Tribolium castaneum: one gene and its partner. The protein of the gene in region 1 interacts with the protein of each later gene in a pairwise test. Links are inferred from orthologs where the notes say so. Each region holds a gene or a part of one and is shown on either strand. Other genes may lie near its edges. The genes, in order: Slu7 and peptidyl-prolyl cis-trans isomerase-like 3.

The links.
Region 2: the proteins of Slu7 (region 1) and peptidyl-prolyl cis-trans isomerase-like 3 interact in binary tests that used the Homo sapiens proteins (3 or more experiments, as listed by UniProt). The link is inferred for Tribolium castaneum from reciprocal best matches to the Homo sapiens genes SLU7 and PPIL3.

Annotation. Positions count from the first base shown.
Region 1 is NC_087397.1:2,833,578-2,837,598, forward strand, and holds Slu7 (pre-mRNA-splicing factor Slu7), read left to right. Parts: upstream 1-1,376; 5' UTR 1,377-1,455; coding exon 1,456-1,773; intron 1,774-1,820; coding exon 1,821-2,750; intron 2,751-2,813; coding exon 2,814-3,221; 3' UTR 3,222-3,266; downstream 3,267-4,021. Other genes in the region: cytosol aminopeptidase, read right to left, coding at 1-410, 465-728, 780-889, 939-1,058. UniProt on the Homo sapiens protein: Required for pre-mRNA splicing as component of the spliceosome. Participates in the second catalytic step of pre-mRNA splicing, when the free hydroxyl group of exon I attacks the 3'-splice site to generate spliced mRNA and the excised lariat intron.
Region 2 is NC_087397.1:1,375,388-1,378,450, forward strand, and holds peptidyl-prolyl cis-trans isomerase-like 3, read right to left. Parts: upstream 1,347-3,063; 5' UTR 1,220-1,346; coding exon 1,217-1,219; intron 1,170-1,216; coding exon 933-1,169; intron 888-932; coding exon 769-887; exon of another isoform or gene 721-768; coding exon 591-720; 3' UTR 581-590; downstream 1-580. Other genes in the region: tubulin alpha-1 chain, read left to right, coding at 1-275, 320-580; transmembrane protein 230, read right to left, coding at 1,774-2,144, 2,218-2,323. UniProt on the Homo sapiens protein: PPIases accelerate the folding of proteins. It catalyzes the cis-trans isomerization of proline imidic peptide bonds in oligopeptides. May be involved in pre-mRNA splicing.

The DNA of each region.
Region 1 (4,021 bases):
TCCCCTTGCATTTCTTCAAACAGAGACCACCGCTGTCAAACGTGATGCCCTTCCCGCAGAACAGGATCGGCTTCTGGTCGTTGGGACCGCCGCAGTACGAGATCTCCAACACGACCGGCGGCTCGCACGAGCCTCGTGCCACCGTCAGGAACGCGCTGAACTTCTTCTGCTCAATCCAGTCCTTGTCGTGGACTTGCACCTTGATGCCGCACGGGCACAGCTCGTTGACAGTTTCCTGGGCGAAATGCAGAGGGGTCATTTGGTTGGCGGGGGTGTCGGACAAGCGCCGGGCCAAGTTCTGCGACTCCGCCTTGAAGAGCCCGCGCTGGAAGCTCTCTCCGTCGGGATCGTCGAACAGCTCCAGCGTGGGGGTCTTCTTCTGGTTCTCGCGCATTTTGTTCTCCTGGTACCTAGAGAAAGAGGGCCATGGTTGCTAGGTCAGGAAATGTCAAAACAAAGCGCACCTCCAAAGGGCGAGGGCGCTCCCTTCGGCCGCTTGCTCCGGGAATCCCATGCCTTCGACCATGATCCGGTCCACGCCCTGCTTCCGGAGGACTTGCGCCCCAATTCCGGCGGCCACGCGGACGTTCTCCATACCCTCGTCGATAGCTTCCATCTCGTTGTAGCCCGCCTTCTCGGGGCCCAAGCCCACCACGGCCACGGCCCAGAATTCCCGGTCGACGTTGTTGAAGATCCTTGTACTACCCCGTTTTACAGTCTTTCCGGCTCTAAACATCGTTATTCAATCACTCGGTCCACATTCGTTTCATTCTACTCACTTTTTTACCAAATCCAGTAATTTTCCTCCTACATGGTCGTTGAATTTTTGTGCAGCCTTCGTCAATACCAATTCATTTTCAGACTCGTATACGCCTAAAATTATGCCTTTCTGCAAAGGTGGGGGGTTAAAGGGGGCCGAGTGACAGGGAAGGACCTACCTTTTCTTCGCCTGATGAAGACGCCGCTGGCTCACCGGAACAGAAATTCCGAGGTCTTAAAACGTTCAGTACTCGAGGCCTTACCCAATTTATTTGTCTTATAACTGTTGGAATCGACATTGTTCATTTAAAATATATACATTTTACAAGAATAATTTAGATCGGAAAGACAAATAATATTTTTCTTATTTATTGGTTACGGGCCTTCACTTGAATTTTTTTCACACAGTTCGCTTGATTTTAATCAAATTTAACGCCATAACAACCGCCGCCTTCTTCATAACACATTATTTTTATTCTCCCGCATTTATTAAATAGCAAATTTACGATGATGAACGGCAAAATGAGCAAACTACTGTTAATTATTAACTTTGGACGAATTTTCGTAATATTGAAAAAAATCAAAATTTGGAATTTTTTGGAATCCCTCTATATAACACGATCTGGCCTTGACAAGTGATAACTGTCAAGTATTTAACCTCACTCTTAGTTGTATGTGTAAATATTGCGTTTAATTATGGCCAGCAGTACGCAGGGCCTTTCGGTGTCGCAAATCTTAAAATCAAAAAGCGAGTTTGAGGATGAGCCTAAGAAAAAATCGCGTGAAGACTGGCGGAAAGCCAAGGAGCTCGAAGAGGCGCGTAAGGCGGGCACAGCCCCTGCGGCTGTGGACGAGGAGGGAAAAGACATAAACCCCCACATCCCGCAATACATTGCCACAGCCCCGTGGTACTATGGCACCTCGGGCCCCACCCTCAAGCACCAGAGGCCCCAAGACGACAAACAGGAGGATTTCTCCAAGTTGGACGAGTGGTACAAGCGAGGGGTCGACACGGTAAGTTAGCTGCACCTCTTATGCCATTATATTTATTTTTTATTTAGTCCAAAGTTGTGACGAAATTCCGCAAAGGCGCTTGCGAGAATTGCGGTGCCATGACCCACAAGCGCAAGGACTGCATGGAGCGGCCCCGCAAAGTGGGGGCCAAATTCTCGGGGGCGAAAATAGCCGCGGATGAGTTCATCCAGAAAAAATTAAATTTGAGTTACGACGGGAAACGGGACAGGTGGAGCGGTTACGACCCGTCCGAGCACAAGGCAGTGATAGAGGAGTTCCAAAAAGTTGAAGAAGCGAAGCGGCAGTTAAAAGCCGATAAACTCAACGCAAATAATGAAAGTGACGAGGAGTTGGATGAGGACAAATACGTGGACGAGGTGGACATGCCGGGGACCAAAGTCGACAGCAAGCAGCGGATCACAGTCAGGAATTTGCGAATTCGGGAAGATACGGCCAAGTATTTGCGAAATTTGGACCCGAATTCGGCGTATTACGACCCGAAAACGCGCTCAATGAGGGAAAATCCGAACCCGAATAAGGATGATAATTACGCGGGGGAGAATTTTGTGAAATTTACCGGCGATACGACTAAACATGCGTCCGCACAGTTGTTTGCGTGGGAGGCGTATGAGAGAGGAGTTGATGTTCACTTGTTGGCGGAACCCACCAAGTTGGAGTTGCTCCAAAAGGAGTATGAGAAGAAGAAGGAACAGTTCAAGTCAAAGGTTCAAGGGAGTATTTTGGAGAAGTACGGAGGGGAGGAGCATCTGGAGGCGCCCCCGAAGTCGCTACTTTTGGCACAGACTGAAGATTACGTGGAGTATTCACGCTCCGGTAAAATTATAAAAGGGCAGGAGAAGGAAGTCATCAAGTCAAAATATGAGGAGGATGTCTATATTAATAATCACACTTCGGTTTGGGGGTCGTTCTGGCGAGGGGGGCAATGGGGCTACAAGTGTTGCCACTCGTTTGTCAAGGTTTGTATTTTTATTTTGGATTAAATAGTGTTTAAACCATATTTTCGTTATTTTTTTTAACAGAATTCGTATTGTTTGGGAGAAGCTGGCCGTAACCAGGAGGCCAACAAACCACCAGAAGTTGTACCTGAACCAGAGGAAGAAAAAGAATCAAGTGAGAGTTCATCATCCGAGTCGAGTTCCGACACAGAAGCGAAACACAAGTCCGAGAAAAACAAGAAAAAGAAGAACAAGAGAAAGAAAAACAAAGAGAAGAAAAAACTGAAACAAAAAGAAGAGAAGGACAAGTTAAAAGAGGCCCTCAAAGCGGAAGAAGAGCACCAAAAGCGAGCCGAGAGTTTACTGTCAATAGACGAGAGGAAGCGTCCTTACAACAGCATGTACGAAGTGAAGAAGCCCTCAGAGGAGGAGATTGAAGCTTACTATTTGAAGAGGAGGCGAGAGGAAGACCCAATGAATCAATTTATGTAATAACAAGAATATATTTATTTGTAATAATACAATGAAAATAAAAAATTAGCGTCGTGTTAATTGGAGTACGACCCCCTTATCGACCATTTTCCCGACAAGTCTTGCCGTATTCCTGGCATCATGCAATCCGCAATGTTCAGTCCCTTCAAAAGTCAGTCCTAGTTCGGCCAAAGCGCCAGAAAGTCCAATAAACGGGCGTCTGATGTAGCGCTTGAACAGTGCTCTAATATCAATCCATTTGCGGTACATTTTCTCAATTCTAATATTCTTCCGGATGCACTCCTTTCGGAGACAGGTCCCCAAATCCCAGTCCGACCAAGTGGCAAAAGCGCACGTTTTTGCCGCCTGACTTTCGCCGTTTGGGAAATCCATGTCATATAATCTCATTTTTTCGGCAACCCAACGCGAAAACAGAAGCAAACAAGCTTGAAGGGGGACCCCGTTATCAACTTGGTGTTGCTGTATTCCTGTAAAAAATCATCAGTGGGGCTTGGGGCACAATGTTTTTTACCTGTGAGCTCGGTACAAAAGTCGCTCAATTTGGGATTCTCGACTGGCATTACGTATTGCTGGAACTCTGCGATTATTTTAGCGTTTTTTACGTCGTAAAGAACGACCGGAAATTCGATTATTTCGGCCGGATTTTTTCTCGGGTCGCCGTTACTCCAGCAAGTGGCTTCAAAGTCAAGGACGAGGAGGTAGTCAAAAGGCTGGGGAGTCGTGGCCTTAGCGGTTGAATAAATTACTTCTAAAGCACCCAGTTTTCTGAAATTGCAATAATAAGCTTATCTTTAATTTAA
Region 2 (3,063 bases), about 1.5 Mb from region 1:
CCTACCCCCGAATTCACTTCCCTTTAATCACCTACGCCCCCTTTGTCCCAGCAACGAAGGCCTACCACGAGCAATTATCAGTTGCCCAATTAACAAACTCCTGCTTCGAGCCGGCCAATCAAATGGTGAAATGCGACCCCAGAAATGGCAAATACATGTCGTGTTGTCTCTTATACCGTGGCGATGTGACACCGACTGATGTGAACAACGCTATTACGAATATCAAACAAAAGCGGAGTATCATGTTTGTGGATTGGTCGCCCACAGGATTCAAAGTAATTTCTTCTGGTGGGTGATCGAGTCTGAGATAATTTTTCAGGTTGGTATTAATTATCAACCGCCGACTACGGTCCCTGGAGGCGACCTGGCCCGCGTACAAAGGGCGGTCACCATGCTGTCCAACACCACAGCCATAAAAGAGACCTGGCAGAGAATTCTGCATAAATATAACCTGATGTATGCCAAACGGTCGTTTGTGCACCATTATGTCGGTGAAGGGATGGAGGAAAGCGAATTTCAGGATGCTAGGGAGGATCTTACTGCCCTAGTGCTGGACTATAAGGAAGTTGATAGTGACTGATACCTATTTATTATCCTGAGGCTAATGGATTTGCATGGATTGTTATACTGTTTATCCTTATATCATTAACCGGTCTGTAGTTCTTTGGATTCACTGGCACTTTTTCCAACTCATCGAGCGTCTCAAACCCGTCTATAACCCTAAACAAGTGTCCTGTACTTACAAATGGAGATAATAAAATTACTCACTTTCCGAAAATTGTGTACTTTAAATCCAAGTGTGGGTGGGCCCCATACGTGATAAAAAACTGACTACCGTTCGTATTGGGGCCGTTATTGGCCATTGAGACTATCCCCCGAGCCGTGTGCTACAAAATCCAGTTAAAACAAACCCAAATAATTGAAAAAAAAACCTTCAACTGTTCCTTAAACTCATCCTCAAACTTCCGCTCCCAAATCGAAGTCCCCCCTTTCCCAGTCCCCGTGGGATCGCCGGTTTGGACAATAAACCCCTTAATGTTCCGATGGAACAAATTCCCCGTGTAATAATCGCTCGCACATAAGGCCAAAAAGTTCTCACAAGTTTTTGGGCAAGATTCGCAAAATAGCTCCATTTTTATGTTGCCCAAGTCGGTGTGAAGCGTAACGGACTGGAAAAACCCACTGCGGGCTGATAATTTGCGAAAATTTAACTTACCATTGCCAAAATTCAAATAAATTGCAAAAAAAACACAACACATAACCTTATTTTTTGTGGCAAACGCGGGCGGGCAGGCAACCAGTAAAACACCGCATTTTTTTTTTAATTATTAAATTTTGCGTAATAATTGAGTTATTGCTAAGTAAACGCTTAGGAAATCTAAATTTTTGGTCATTATTGACCAAATTTGGTGATTTTCTTTGTTCAAATTTAATAAAAACCAAAAAAAGCTTAGTTGTTGGTCAAAAAATAATTATTTTGGCAGGTTCTGAGGATTTAAACACGTTTTAAAAGAGTAATTGGATTAGCTAAGGGTTAAATAACGACACTGTTGGTAAACAGATAAACATTTATTCCAAATATTTAAGTAATGTATTCGTTAACAAAAAAAATCACAAAGTATACAGTGATCAAGGGCACATACATTAATTAATTAACGACAAGAGAAGGCACATTAATCGCAAAGCTGATTGCTTAGTCCTTATCTAAAAATTAACTCAGGTACACGAATCTATTCTCTCAATACTGTTCTCCCTACAATTAGAAAAGCCCCCCTAATCAAACTCGGGGATGTCGTCAAAAGAGTAGCCAGGCACTTGCTTGTAGGCATAGTAGGCGATGCGTACATGGTAGGCCCCCGGGATGAACATCAGCAGCCCCAGGATGATCATTGGCCACATTCTGTCTGAATAGTTCAGGATAATGTGCCCACTGACCACCAGCGACCCAAAAATGAGCAAAAACGTGCCCACGACTAGCAACATAGTGGCTAAGCAAATGGCCTTCCATGGTACTTTCTGGGCAGGTGTAATGAACTGTGCATCAATAAAGCCATTGTCCTTATCAGCAGGTGCTAGCTTTGTGTAATCAACGTGGTCGTAATCGCGACCCCGCCTTCTGGACATTTTAAGGTCGTCCAAATATTCTGCAAAGAAAGAGTGTTGATTTTTAGTGTATTTACCCTCTGATAAGGCGAATTATAGGGAAGTTGAGTTAACCTGTAATGGAATGTAAACTCATGGTCGGTAATAGAGAAATCTGACTGGTACTTGTACGACCATTATCGAATTCGGTCGTCAGGGGGCTTAGAGATTTAAAATTCATGACGGGGATCAATAATGAACACTCCCTTTATTTAATTAATCTAAAATAATAGAAAGGGGTTTAGCTGGTGCTAACGACGTACCTTTAACATACATCCAAAACATTTGCCCCTTTTTGCGCCCCAAACTGTCTTTTTTATTTTTTTTTGGGTGCTATTTTGTTGCGTTTGGACTCACTATGCGTTCTCCTTGAAATTTTAAAATTAACACTCGATTTAGACAAATTTGGGGCGAAATTACTCAACTGCACGTAACAACAAAAATTGCCGCCTGACACGTTATTTTAGAAGTTTCATTTTACATAATCAATAAACTCGGACAGAGAAACAGGGGTGTATTGGGGAGAAAGCTATTTTGAGCGCCTTTAACTTCGCCATTTAAGTATTTTTGTAACATTTTGTAAGATTTTGCCTTAATTTTTAAGATAAAAGGCATGCATGTAGAAAACAATTTTTTTTTTAAATCGACCAACAAACTTTTACCCAATGAGAATTGTAGAAAAATTTTGCAAATAATGAAATAATAATAAAAAAACTGATTTTGTCGATGTGTTTTTTAAGTGTGCTTACTTATGTTATTCATGTAAAAAATACCTAAATTTTCAAAAACAATATCTTTTTATCAACTGTTAATGTAAAAGAACAACAAAGTTACTGTAACGACTAATGTAACGAAAACTAAAGAAAAAAGAGAAATAATTAAACAATGGTGGCAAACTAATTCTACTACAGTCTGATGCTA